Linked DNA regions of Neurospora crassa OR74A. The protein of the gene in region 2 interacts with the protein of the main gene of each other region in a pairwise test. Links are inferred from orthologs where the notes say so. Each region holds a gene or a part of one and is shown on either strand. Other genes may lie near its edges.

The links. The genes of interacting proteins can lie anywhere in the genome.
Region 1: the proteins of NCU00018 (region 2) and NCU02147 interact in binary tests that used the Saccharomyces cerevisiae proteins (3 or more experiments, as listed by UniProt). The link is inferred for Neurospora crassa OR74A from reciprocal best matches to the Saccharomyces cerevisiae genes CDC48 and VMS1.

The regions. Positions count from the first base shown.
Region 1 is NC_026501.1:1,082,711-1,088,144, reverse strand, and holds NCU02147 (ankyrin repeat and zinc finger domain-containing protein 1), read right to left. Parts: upstream 4,068-5,434; 5' UTR 3,858-4,067; coding exon 1,908-3,857; 3' UTR 1,727-1,907; downstream 1-1,726. Other genes in the region: NCU02146 (hypothetical protein), read right to left, coding at 1-270, 412-755; NCU16330 (hypothetical protein), read left to right, coding at 4,967-5,028, 5,098-5,419. UniProt on the Saccharomyces cerevisiae protein: Endonuclease that cleaves polypeptidyl-tRNAs downstream of the ribosome-associated quality control (RQC) pathway to release incompletely synthesized polypeptides for degradation.
Region 2 is NC_026503.1:2,303,884-2,310,347, reverse strand, and holds NCU00018 (cell division control protein Cdc48), read right to left. Parts: upstream 4,244-6,464; 5' UTR 3,814-4,243; coding exon 3,758-3,813; intron 3,666-3,757; coding exon 3,638-3,665; intron 3,572-3,637; coding exon 3,516-3,571; intron 3,462-3,515; coding exon 3,212-3,461; intron 3,146-3,211; coding exon 1,654-3,145; intron 1,595-1,653; coding exon 1,002-1,594; 3' UTR 522-1,001; downstream 1-521. UniProt on the Saccharomyces cerevisiae protein: ATP-dependent chaperone which probably uses the energy provided by ATP hydrolysis to generate mechanical force to unfold substrate proteins, disassemble protein complexes, and disaggregate protein aggregates.

The DNA.
Region 1 (5,434 bases), on a different chromosome or scaffold from region 2:
ACCAGCGCCCTGTTGGTGATTTGGTTGGCTTCGTCTGCCTCTGTAGTGGCATCATGCTGAGAACCAGTCCTAGACTGCACATCTCTTCGCTCCTCATCTTCCTCTTCCTCTCCCCGCTCCTCCTTCTCCCACTCCTTCTCCCTCTCCTCAAGCTCCCCTCGCCACTCCCTCTTCTTCCTTCCCTCCTCAGCCCACATGATCGTCTTCCACCTGATATCCTCCAACTTCTGAATCCCCTCTCCCACATCCTCCCCCGCAAACGGCACGAGTCTCCCCAACATGATAATCTCCCCTCTTCCCACCCTCGGATCCTCCACGTACTCCGTCCCCCCGTCAAAGATGATTTTCCCAGGCACGCACTCCGCATCTACCGGCTCGCTCCAACCACGGACGTTCTTGTACTTCTAATACTTGAGAACGACCTGGTCGTTGCGAGTGTCGTCGGACTCGGAGGGCGCAAACCCGGCGCTGCGGTAGTAAGCCTGGCAGCGACAACAAAAGCCGAAGCGGATTTCAGTAAAGTAGGGATGTGGTGGTCGGCAGGGGACCGGTTGGGTTGCAGGGAAAATAAAGCGAGTGAGGTGTGAGCAGATATAGATTTTGGAGGTAAGGGCGGCGCCGGTGTCGCTGCCGCTTGGGATTGAAGGTCCTGAGGCCTCGAGATCATTGGGGATCTCGCGCTGTCGATGGCAGAGACGAATGCCGGAGGATTGGTGGCCGCACACGGTGTAGAGCTTGCGCTTTTCGAGACACATTGTGATGTGGGTGAAAGGATGACTGGTTATTGTTGGTTGAAGGTGTGTAATGGAGGAGTCGATGGACTAGGCGAGTGTCAAAAGCGTGTAGATCTAGAGATTAGTGAAGGAGGAAACGAATTGAGACAACTGGAAATCTCGAGGAGTCGACTTTATACAGTCGTTCGAGCGAGAGTGTAACCGGTGAGCCATCTCCAGCCGTTTGTTATTGCGTGATGAAAGGCACGGGGTTCAGTGAATGGGACGATACGAAGACAACCTGAAGTCTTCAATCGTACATCCGACCGAGATTTAATCCCCGGCTCCTGATCCTTCATCAGTTGCATCCTTGAGAATTGGGTATCCCAGTGATTTTGGATCAGTCAGGTCAGGAAACGTGCTTTTAGCCATCGTGATGCATCAGATACGCTTCAATGAAGTAAATTCGCAAAAACAAGAGCGAACCCAAGAACGGCGAGAACTGACACTCAACGCTTTGTAAAATATGGCTATACCTGATGATCGGAACCTTGATAGGAGTATATCTTCCCGTCATCTATCCAGACTTAAGGGACTCTTCTCGAAATATTAGCGACACAAGTCGAATACTAACAGAGCAGACGTTCGGTTAAATGAAAATAGGTAATCTTCGATCTGTTGATGTGTTGTTCGCTCGCAATATTTCGAAGAAAATAAACTATGAAGGCAATGTTTAGCTTACACCAGATAGTTTAAGACCAGGAAGATTTCGCATTGTTTTTAGTTTCATGCTTGTCGTTGTAGGAGTAGTCTTGTAAGGGCGAAATATAGACATGATGTTCATTTTTTGCTTCAATGATGATTGAGACCATCCCCAATGCCCTACTTCTTACCCTGAGATACGTTTAGGCTGGGGACCCATCTTATATATAAGCCGAAATCGCCCTAAAATAGCATGGCTTGCTCACCTGTTCCATGAATCATGCCCAATTAATTGCTCATGATCAATTATTCATTGGTTGACCAAAGGTTGCCGATAATGATGGGCAGAGGGAGTCAATTCCATTCACCTCAAACTGAGTCATACGTTGGCAACGCTTTGACATTGGTATACCCTAGATGCAATCGTAAAGTGTCCATGACATTTTCCCTCATCTTACCCACCCCCTCTAGCACCAGCTTCACACGTTAGACTTACTGCCCACCTTGCAGCCGCCTAATCCTCTCCTCCGCCGCCCTCGCTCTCCTCTCCCTCTCCAGCCTCATCTTCATTTCTGGCGTCAACCCCTTCGCCTCCTCTTCCCTTCGTTCCTGCGGCGTCAGCTTCATCGCAGCCGCCAACACACTGCCACCAGCCTTCTTCCCATTCTTCGTCGCATCAACCTTTGGTCCCTCCTTTTTCAGCCTCTCCTCCTCAGCCTTCCTTCTCTGATCCTCCTTCTCTTTCGCTTCATTCTTTTCCCTCTCCGTCCTCTTCAATGCCTCGTCCCGCGATAGCGCGACGGGGACCCCGGCGGCTTCCCAATCCCATGCTTCCTCACCAAGCTCCGAGCGGGCAACGCGGAAAGCGTCGCGGGTGGCGCGGTCGCCAGCAAGCTCGAAGGCAGTCCTACCGTCGCCGTTAGGGATGGTAGGGTCCGCGCCGGCGCGGGTGAGGAGACCGGTCACAAGCGGCGCCGAGTTTTGGGATGCGGCCAGGTGAAGCGGCGTTGGAGTGTGGTGGTCTGCTGGGAAAAAGCGGAATTCCTTGAGGGAGATGTCGTTTGTGCTGAGGTAGGATAGAAGGGCGGGCACCTTTGAGCGCTTGACCAGGGCCTGGATCTGTTGGGTGTGCAAAAGGAGCGTCTCCTCTTCTTCTGAAAGTTTTGGTTTCGAAGCCGCAGCCGGCTTAGGGCTCTTCGGTCTCTTCGGTGACTCGGTAGTCGGAGCGGCTGCCTCGGGGACGATCTGTCGTACTTTCAGCCTGGTAAGCTCGATGAAGGCGCGCATCAGCTCGTTCTGGGTAGCTCTCCGGGTCATAAATGGGAAACCACGAATGCGGGGGTCGTTCGCCCGCAGGACCTGTCCGTCGTAAGGGCCGAACAATGTCCTCCTGTTGGTTAAGCCGGTGGCGCGGATGAAGAGCAGATCGGATGTGTCGATAAGTCCCTTCCATTCGGCCAACAGCCCGCGAACATCCTCGACGAGAGCCTGCTCGTTGTACCGACGAAGGTTAGCACCGGCTGAGTGGGCGGCGCCTTTGGCGTTGTCGTTGGCGGATTGCGAACCACCCTGCTTGCGACGAGTGGTGTATCTGTGGAAGGTCTTGTGCACTAGGACGACGGCTTCCTTGTTGAGGGGTCCGGTTGTTCCATGCTTCGTCTTCCGTGGGTTTAGCGAGACAACCATAGCGGCAAAGTGTCCACCGCCAATCATGCACATGAAGATGTGCTTGCCAGTGTAATTTGGTGGGATATCGTTGGCGTCCTTTGGCGGTTTGCCCATGGTGATGGGTGCCAGTTGCCTGGACTTGATAGCATCCATAATAGCGTCCTCCTTCTTCAGCTCTTCTGGGGTGAACATGGCTTTGTAGACGCCATAATAAGAGTTCTCGGGTAACTTCGGGGAGCTGAACCAGAGCAATGGTTGCGACCCGTTTGACGACTTCACTTTTTCCCCGTCATTCTCACCATCATCGCCACCCTCCTTTGTCATCTTTTCTACAATGTTGGCCTGCTTCTTCAGGAGGGCAGATAACATATTCGTATCCTTGTCCTGCCCCTCTTCTTCATCCTCGCTGTCTGAAGAGTCGGAACCTGAAATGCTTTCGTCGAGATTGTTGACGAGCTCCTCAAACTTGGCCTCGGTTACTGGGGAAAGACCGTTGAGTTTCTGTTTCAGGTTGTAATGGTGAAAATCGGTCTTCAAGTGACTTCGTTGTTCCTGGACGTTGTCGAACTTGAGGCTGCATAGTGAACAGCTGGCTTGCGACCCCGATGCGGTGGGCTCAGATGCTGTGGTATCGATTGTCTGCTTGGCGGTTTCGTTGACTGGCTCGGCTGTAATGTCCGCATCTGACTTGAGGGCGACCGTGTTCAGGATGTCGGCGTCGATGTCGTATAGATAGACGGGCCTCCGCTGGAGGTCTTCCTGTTTGCTGGCCATATTGTCGAATGTGATGAGGAAAGGTGAGCGTTACTGGCGTCTGGGAGAGGGAACGATGGCTGCTTCTGGTGATGAGTGGAAGCAAAAAGTTTTTGTAACGGCGAGTGGTTGAGAATGGGGCGCCTCTCTGTTATAAACCTTGTTTGCAAATTGTCGGGTCACCGTTCGATGCTAATGTTGATGTTGATGTTGGCCGTGACGGGCTTGAAAGCTATGAGACGTCAACTGTGAAGTTCCCTGGCAAGCATCAGTGGGGCATTCTTTATCGCGCTAGACATCGTTGGCCGATAAGAGTCATCTCGGGTGACGTACCTCTACCGATCCGATCGAAGTCACAGTTTGACCCTAGCGCACCGCCACAAGCTCCAGTAACCAAAGCGATACTGTTTGTAACTGTCTTGCTCTTTGTGGGCTCTCTCATGAAAATCCGAAAATATTTGGAAAAGAAGAGAAATTTTTTCAAGGCGTTGCCCAACGGGGTCGACACAAGTATATGTACTGCGAGCCGCGAGGTACCTTTCATTTGTTGTCCGGCTGAGCCCTAACCCTGACCGGCTTGTCGACCTAATTCTTGTCTCCTTGAGATTCATCGGACGCTGCGTCTCAGTCTCGAGCATTTTTCAACGCACTACCGGTAAATTGATGCCGCATGGTAAACGGACTTCGATATGTGCAATGCATACGACGCCTGTTTCAGCGCGATGCAAGTGAAGAACGTACAAGAGCGGATCAAATAATATGGTAGGTTCCGGTTCCAAAAAGGAAGAATACAATCTAGAGCGACTGGATCCAAGAAATGCCAAGTGCAGTTGTTCCACTCGTCTTCTCGCTTGGATGCTGCCTACCCTGAACAACAATCAAAAAGAGGAGGACCCTGATGGACAACAGCAAGGGGACGAGGCGACGGATAGTTTTGTTGTCCGCGAAACATTGACACCACGAGAATAGACATTAAGCGTCGGACTACATCACGACACCTCTCTCATCTTACATTTTCTTCACTTCCAGAAAGCATTACCTCGCGTGGCCCTGTGTAGCTTGTTGCATTGTTTATTCATCCTCACTCACCGTCACCCGTACACATTCCCCCCTTCCCTAAAATAAACAAAATGGCCTCCCAACTACCCCCTTTCCCACGCTTTGTCTTTACCAAATTCGAACCTCTCTCACTGTATGCATACTTCGCTCCTTCTCATCACATTTCACTCTCAGATAGAAACACTAACACCTCCCCACGCAGACTATCCGGCTTTCTCCCCGCCATCCTCTCCCCCGATTGGTTCACCCACGAACAACTCTCCTCCTCTTCACCTCTAATCGCCTATCCCACCGCCAGCCGCACCACCACCCGCCAACTAGGTAACATGTATTTCCTCGCCTTTCTTGTCGGGGTAGGCGTGCTGTACTCTTCTTCCGAGATCAGAGTCGTCAAAAACTACCTGATTGCTTTGTGGGTAGCGGATCTGGGGCACATGATGATCACGGCGGAGGCCCTGCGATGGGAGGGGACGATGGATGTGAGCGGGTGGAATGCCATGACTTGGGGGAATCTGGGAGTTACTGTGAGTTTTTTCTGA
Region 2 (6,464 bases):
GCGGACGGGGTTCAGTAGAGTTTTCCGTCAGTCCTTAGACCCGAAGTATCTTGGATGAGGCACATTGGTAGTCAGTCTCCTGGCAGTTTCGAAGGGCTCACTATCCGCAGAAGGGACGATCCTGCTTTTGATACCACTCCTTCCGACTCTGGAAGACTTGTTCCTTCCTTGCTCCTTCACTTTTTGGGGTAATGCTTCAATTTCTCATGCTCCATCTGGTTGGGCTTGTTATGTTCAGCCTTACGCCTCCTCTTCATCAGTCCGTCGGCCAGATGCAACTACGGCGGAAGAGATTAATGGATAGATCACAGGCAACGTACATGCTCAATAGTCGACATTATCTACCATCAATTATGGAAGGAAGACTGCCCGGCCTTGCTGTTGCCAAAAGTAGATTCTCCCTCGTCGAGCATCGCGGGTCGGGAGAAAACTGCACATGTACCTTTCACAATGTGGGATACAACTCCAGCACTGATCACTACAAGTGGCTCGCCCACTAGTCAGCCGTCGATTTTGTAGACATGACAAGTAGGCTTGGGAAGACGGTTGAGAATGAATTTGAGAAACTTGGTGCAACCTGAGAAGGGAGTAAAAAACGAGCCGCACGTTGACATCAGTTTAGGGTCACTGTTCCTATCTTCATAACCGAATTTGGAGGCAGTTGCATGGTGGAACCAAGTCAAACACAAAGCCAGCGAGGTTGACGAAAACATAAGTCATGGCCTGCATGATTTTCTCTCAGTCACCAAATCCGAATGCCAAACAATCGCTGAGGGTACCGCTGTTATGTGGAATCTTATAAGTCACATCGTTTGTGCCCAATTGCTCTGAATCGACCCTGGATGGGCCAAACAAAAGAGACTATGCAAAGACATTGTCAATCAACTTTGAAGGAATACCTCGTCAACTCCTATCCTTTGAGCGCATATTAACATACATGTAGAGCCCCAAGGCTAGCGGAAGACTGCTCTAATACTGTGAGTCTTGAATCCCTCCCCCATCTAGTTGTAAAGATCATCATCGTTGCCAGCATCACCAAACGAGTTACCAGCACCGCCGTTGCCGCTGCTCTCAACACCACCCTCAGGGAATTTGAAGAAGGCACCCGGGCCGGCGTTCTTCATCTGCTGGGAGAAAGCCTCATAGCGACGGATTTCGACGTCACTGACGGAGCGACGAGCCATCGACATGGCCTCCTCGAAGTGGCGCTTGGTGAGCTCAGGAACGGGGTCCTCAACCTCATCCTCCATCTCGACATCCTCGCCAGCGGCCTCGCGCTCCTTAGTGCGCTGAATATCGGCGGTGATAGACTCCTTGATGGCGATCTTGACAGCACGCTGGGTGATGAAGCCAAGATCGGCACCAGAGAAGCCGTGGGTCTTGGAAGCGATGTAGTTCAGGTCAACATCGGCAGCGACAGGGGTCTTGCGGAGCTGAGCCTTGAGAATACCGAGACGACCCGCCTCATCAGGAAGGGGAACGTAGATGAGGGAGTCGAGACGGCCGGGACGGCAGAGCGCTGGGTCGAGCTGCTCGGGACGGTTGGTAGCACCAATAACGAAAACATTCTTCTTGGAGGTCATGCCGTCCATTTCTATAGCTCAGGTTAGTATGCACAGCAGAATGGCACAAACCAAGGAAGAATCAACTTACCGGTAAGAAGCTGGTTAACAACACGGTCAGAAGCGCCACCAGCATCACCAACAGAGCCACCACGGGCCTTGGCGATAGAATCCAACTCGTCGAGGAAGACGACGCAAGGAGCAGCAGCGCGAGCCTTGTCGAAGATATCACGGATGTTGCTCTCAGACTCACCGAACCACATGGAAAGCAGTTCGGGACCCTTGACGGAAATGAAGTTGGCTGCGCACTCGTTGGCAACAGCCTTGGCCAACATTGTCTTACCGGTACCAGGAGGACCGTAGAAAAGAACACCGCGAGATGGCGAAAGGCCAAACTTGAGGAACTTTTCGGGATGGTCGACGGGGTACTGGACACTCTCCCTGAGCTCCTGCTTGACAGTCTCGAGACCACCGATATCCTCCCAGCGGACGTTGGGAACCTCGACAACGGCAACCTCGCGAAGAGCCGAGGGGTTGGAGACACCGAGAGCAAAGCGGAAGTTCTCTTGGGTAACACCAAGAGAGTCAAGGACCTCGGCGTCGATAGTGTCTTCGTCCAGATCGATGAGATCCATCTTCTCACGAATCTGCTGCATGGCAGCCTCGGAGCAGAGGGCAGCAATATCAGAACCAACGTAACCGTGGGTCTCAGCAGCAATCTGCTCGAGATCGACGTCATCGGCAAGCTTCATGTTCTTGGTGTGGATCTGGAGAATCTCAAGACGACCGGTAGGGTCGGGGATGCCGATATCGACCTCGCGATCGAAACGGCCGAAACGACGGAGAGCGGGATCGATCGAGTTGGGACGGTTGGTGGCAGCCATAACAACAACGTTGGAACGGGCCTTCATACCATCCATGAGAGTAAGGAGCTGGGAGACGACGCGGCGCTCAACCTCGCCGTTGGTCTTCTCACGCTTGGGGGCGATCGAGTCGATCTCATCAATGAAGATGATAGCGGGCGAGTTCTTCTCAGCCTCCTCGAAAGCCTTGCGCAAATTCGACTCGGATTCACCGGCCATCTTGGACATGATCTCGGGGCCGTTGATCAAGAAGAAAAAGGCACCAGTCTCGTTGGCAACAGCGCGAGCCATCAAAGTCTTACCGGTACCAGGAGGGCCATAAAGCAGGACACCACGGGGCGGCTTGATACCAATGGACTTGAAAAGCTGAGGATGCCTGAGGGGCAGCTCAACCATTTCGCGGATCTGAGCCATCTGCTTACGGCAACCACCAATATCATCGTAACCAACCTCGTTGAGGTTGTTCTCCTCCTCGTCACGCTGGATGGGCTCGCCCTCGCAGTGGATGACGGTATCCTGAGCGACAATACCGTACTCTGGTGGGTCCACCTCGACGACCTTGAACTCGACTTGCCTCATACCACCGCGGACAATAAAGAGATCGCCTTGCCTGACAGGGCGGTAGGCCTCGCGGAAGTAGGGAGCAAGGAAGACGTCGAAGAGAGATCCGGTGATGCCCTCAACGGTATCGGCGATCGGGAGGACGGCAATACGCTTGGCCTACAAGGAGATGCTGTGTCAGCAAGGTGCCCATTCTATGACTAGGTGACCGGGTTATAGACTAACATATTTGATATCGGGACAAGGGTGAATGGTGATGATGTCGCCGTGCTTGACACGGAGGTTGTGGCGAACGACACGGTTGAGGCGTGCGCTGCCATCGTCAAGATCGTCATCGGCAAGAACAATCAAGACGGTGTCCTTTCTCTTCTTTCCGCGGACGAGAACGGTATCACCACGGAAGAGCTGGAGCTGCTCCATGGTGTTGTTGGAGAGGGCGATAATCGAGTTATCATCGTTGACGGCGTCAGTAACCCTGCATATGTGTTAGCTCAGGTTGCAGTGCCCCGCATCTTCAACGTCAACCTACATCAACTGGTTGGGCTTCTTCTTCTTCTTGAGAATAGCAGTGGCGGTATCATCTTCCTGTTCCATCGGTCAGCACGAGTGGTTCTCGAGATGTCTTTGGCGGGCAAGCGAGGTTGAACATACGGCCTTGTGCTCGGCACCAGAAGCGTCCCTGTTTGGCTTCAAGTCAGCTTGGCGTCATTCGCGATGAGGGGGCGCGACAGCTTCGAGAGCTCCCGCGATCAGCGTCGCTGCTTCACGTACATCAAGTTGACCTTCTTCTTCTGCTCGACGTGGTCGGGATTAGGTTCGGGAGCCATCTTGACGTTTGTGTTGGAATCAGTAGAATAAATGTGGTATTTGGGTATCGCGGACGGTGATGCTAATCCACGGAGAGGATGTAGCGGGAAGAAGTGGTTTTGGAGAAAAAGAAACCAGAATTCGTAGCCTCAAGACCCGCTGATAAAGGGATTCTTTGGAGGTTGGACGGCGAGGTGAAGGTGAATGGTGTTGGGATGGAAACAAAAAAAAGGACCAGTCGGAGGGACGAAGTGCCTTTGCGTTTTGGTGTTGGAGTTGGTTTCGTTTACGTTCAGGTTGTCACGGCCAGGCATGGAAAGGACGGTTCGAGCCAAAGCAAGCAAGCAAGCAAGCACCGCTGCGCCGGCGAGTGGCACCGACCGCTTGCTCCCTCCAAGGCCAGCCAACCAGGGGCAAGCAGCTGGTGGCCAGCAGCTGGGGAGCGGCAACAGCAACAGCGGGCATCTGATTCAACTGTCAGTGTCACTGACTGACAAACCGCCCCGCCAGGCGACCATTTGGATGACGAAGTATGAGCGGAGCCTTTTCTGGGGCGACAAAGGTCCGTGCTTTTCGCCCATAGGTACACTTCCATTCTGCCACTCTGTCTGCTTCCATGCCCTGGCTGTTCCGGGCTCCAGGCACGCCTTCTGCCATCGCTCCGAGGATCTTCAGGTCGCCCGACACACCTGGTAAAGCAACGGTGCGGCCGGAACCTTCGAATGCGTTCTACAAAGCTGCTGACAGATCAAAGCTTCATCTTGTTTGACTTGGGGTTCGTTCCATTTCTTCAGTTCGAGATTTACAGTGAATCGAGGTTCGGATGCTGCAGCACCGCTCGAGCACCGATGTCCAGATGGCCAGGCTGTCAGGTCTCTCCAAGGAAGCGAGACATGCTGCCCTGGGATTTCCTATTTGCCCCTCCCCCGCAGTACGGACAACAAGGCGGTCAGTGGTTGTCGCATGCACCACCGGATGGCCTGTACAGAGGCCACAGGCCAACGATGCTGCTAGGTAGGTATCACAGAAAACGAAATGGAACAGGACAACACGCGGAAAGTTGGCAGGCTGCAACTGTCGTCTTATCGAGATTCGAGAGAGTCCGTTTGTCCGGACGTCGCAGGAACCCGCATGCCACTTTGGGTGGAGCAAGCGAGTGACAAGAGCAAACGACGACCCTCGACCCGACCGAGAACCGGGTCCTCAGGGGTTGTAGGACACGTCCCCGCCCGTGCTTATACGAGGCGCGCGCCGGCCATACGGCTCCGCCCCGGCACGCCGATACCCAGTACGTCCCGGAGTCTCTCCCCGGACTGCTCGGCGCCCGGCTGGAAGAAGGCGGGGCTAGAAGCCAGGGAGCTCGGTACCCTTGTAACGTACTACATACATACACTACAGTAGTGTAGTACCATGGGTGTTAGCTACCCCGCTGTACATGGTGACCCCAAAGACGCTGCGGCGCGCCGCCCACCTGGCCATTCAGAGTCCAAAGGGACCTCAAGGTCCCATAGTCCAATGCCTCCACGATCCGGATCCGATATACCGTTACTACCTACTGTACAACACGCATTGAGCCAGAATGGGGCTGGAGCTCGGAGGGTGTGGCATTTCCTTTCAGGCAACAGACTAACAATCAAACCAGCCTCGACTTCAACGACGTTCACTCTCGTGGAGTCAGTGTGAGCAAGGCTTGGCAGTTTTCCGGGCACAGCTCGTTAGACATGAGGACTACCTATATTCAGTCAACTACACCCGGCCCTCTGCCTTCCAACCCAACTTGCCCCTACCCACCCCAGTCACGAGGTACCCGGGAGCCTGATTGAGTTCTAATACTCTTGCTAAAGATAGGACTTCGTCAAACTCAGGACAAGATCACCCTTGTGTCCCTCTGTCAACGGATTTGAGCTCAGAATATCACCGAGGCAGCGTCGATATGGAAGACGTGACAACATTCAACACCAACTGACTTTAGCTAAATAACGAAGGCTTTAGAGACGTATCTACTGCAAAGTTAGGTAAGGAAGCGCAACGCGCTCTGGATTTGTTGATGGATATGTATGTGAAGCCCATTCCCTCGGTGTCACGTCCAGGACGAACAGCCAAACATGTTGAGTTCACTGATAGTAGAGGCGTGGACTCAACCGAACGTTTGACGTTCCTATTATCTACAGAACCTTGGCTCTGTACATCGGCTCGCCTTGCCCCATCCCTCCTGCCTCGAGCCTCGTTCACCTCGTCACTACATCACATTTCAATATTAGTAGGTTCTGGTACATTTGAATTTCCATCCCCTTATCTCCGCCCCTTCGAAACCAAGTAAGGTACCAATCCTCTCTCGCCTTTTAGCAAACATGAAGTCAAATTCTGCTGCCTGCTCTGCTGCTGTTTTGTAGCCATTCGATGGACTTCAATGGCCCCATGAGCGCCGTTCTTGTCTGATATCACAGTTTTAAAAAGGCAGAGGGGCTGAATGATTTCTACTGACTGATCGGATGTAACTACGTCCGGTCTGTGGCGTATGGGGATCTGATGCCAATTTGGCTCGCTTGGATGAGACACTAGGGCGACGAGGACTGAATCGTACGAGTGGCAAGATGGGATTACGCCTTCCGTGCCAGCATGGACGTCGAATGTTCGCACGTGTGACTATACTTGGGCTAGTAATGTAAGC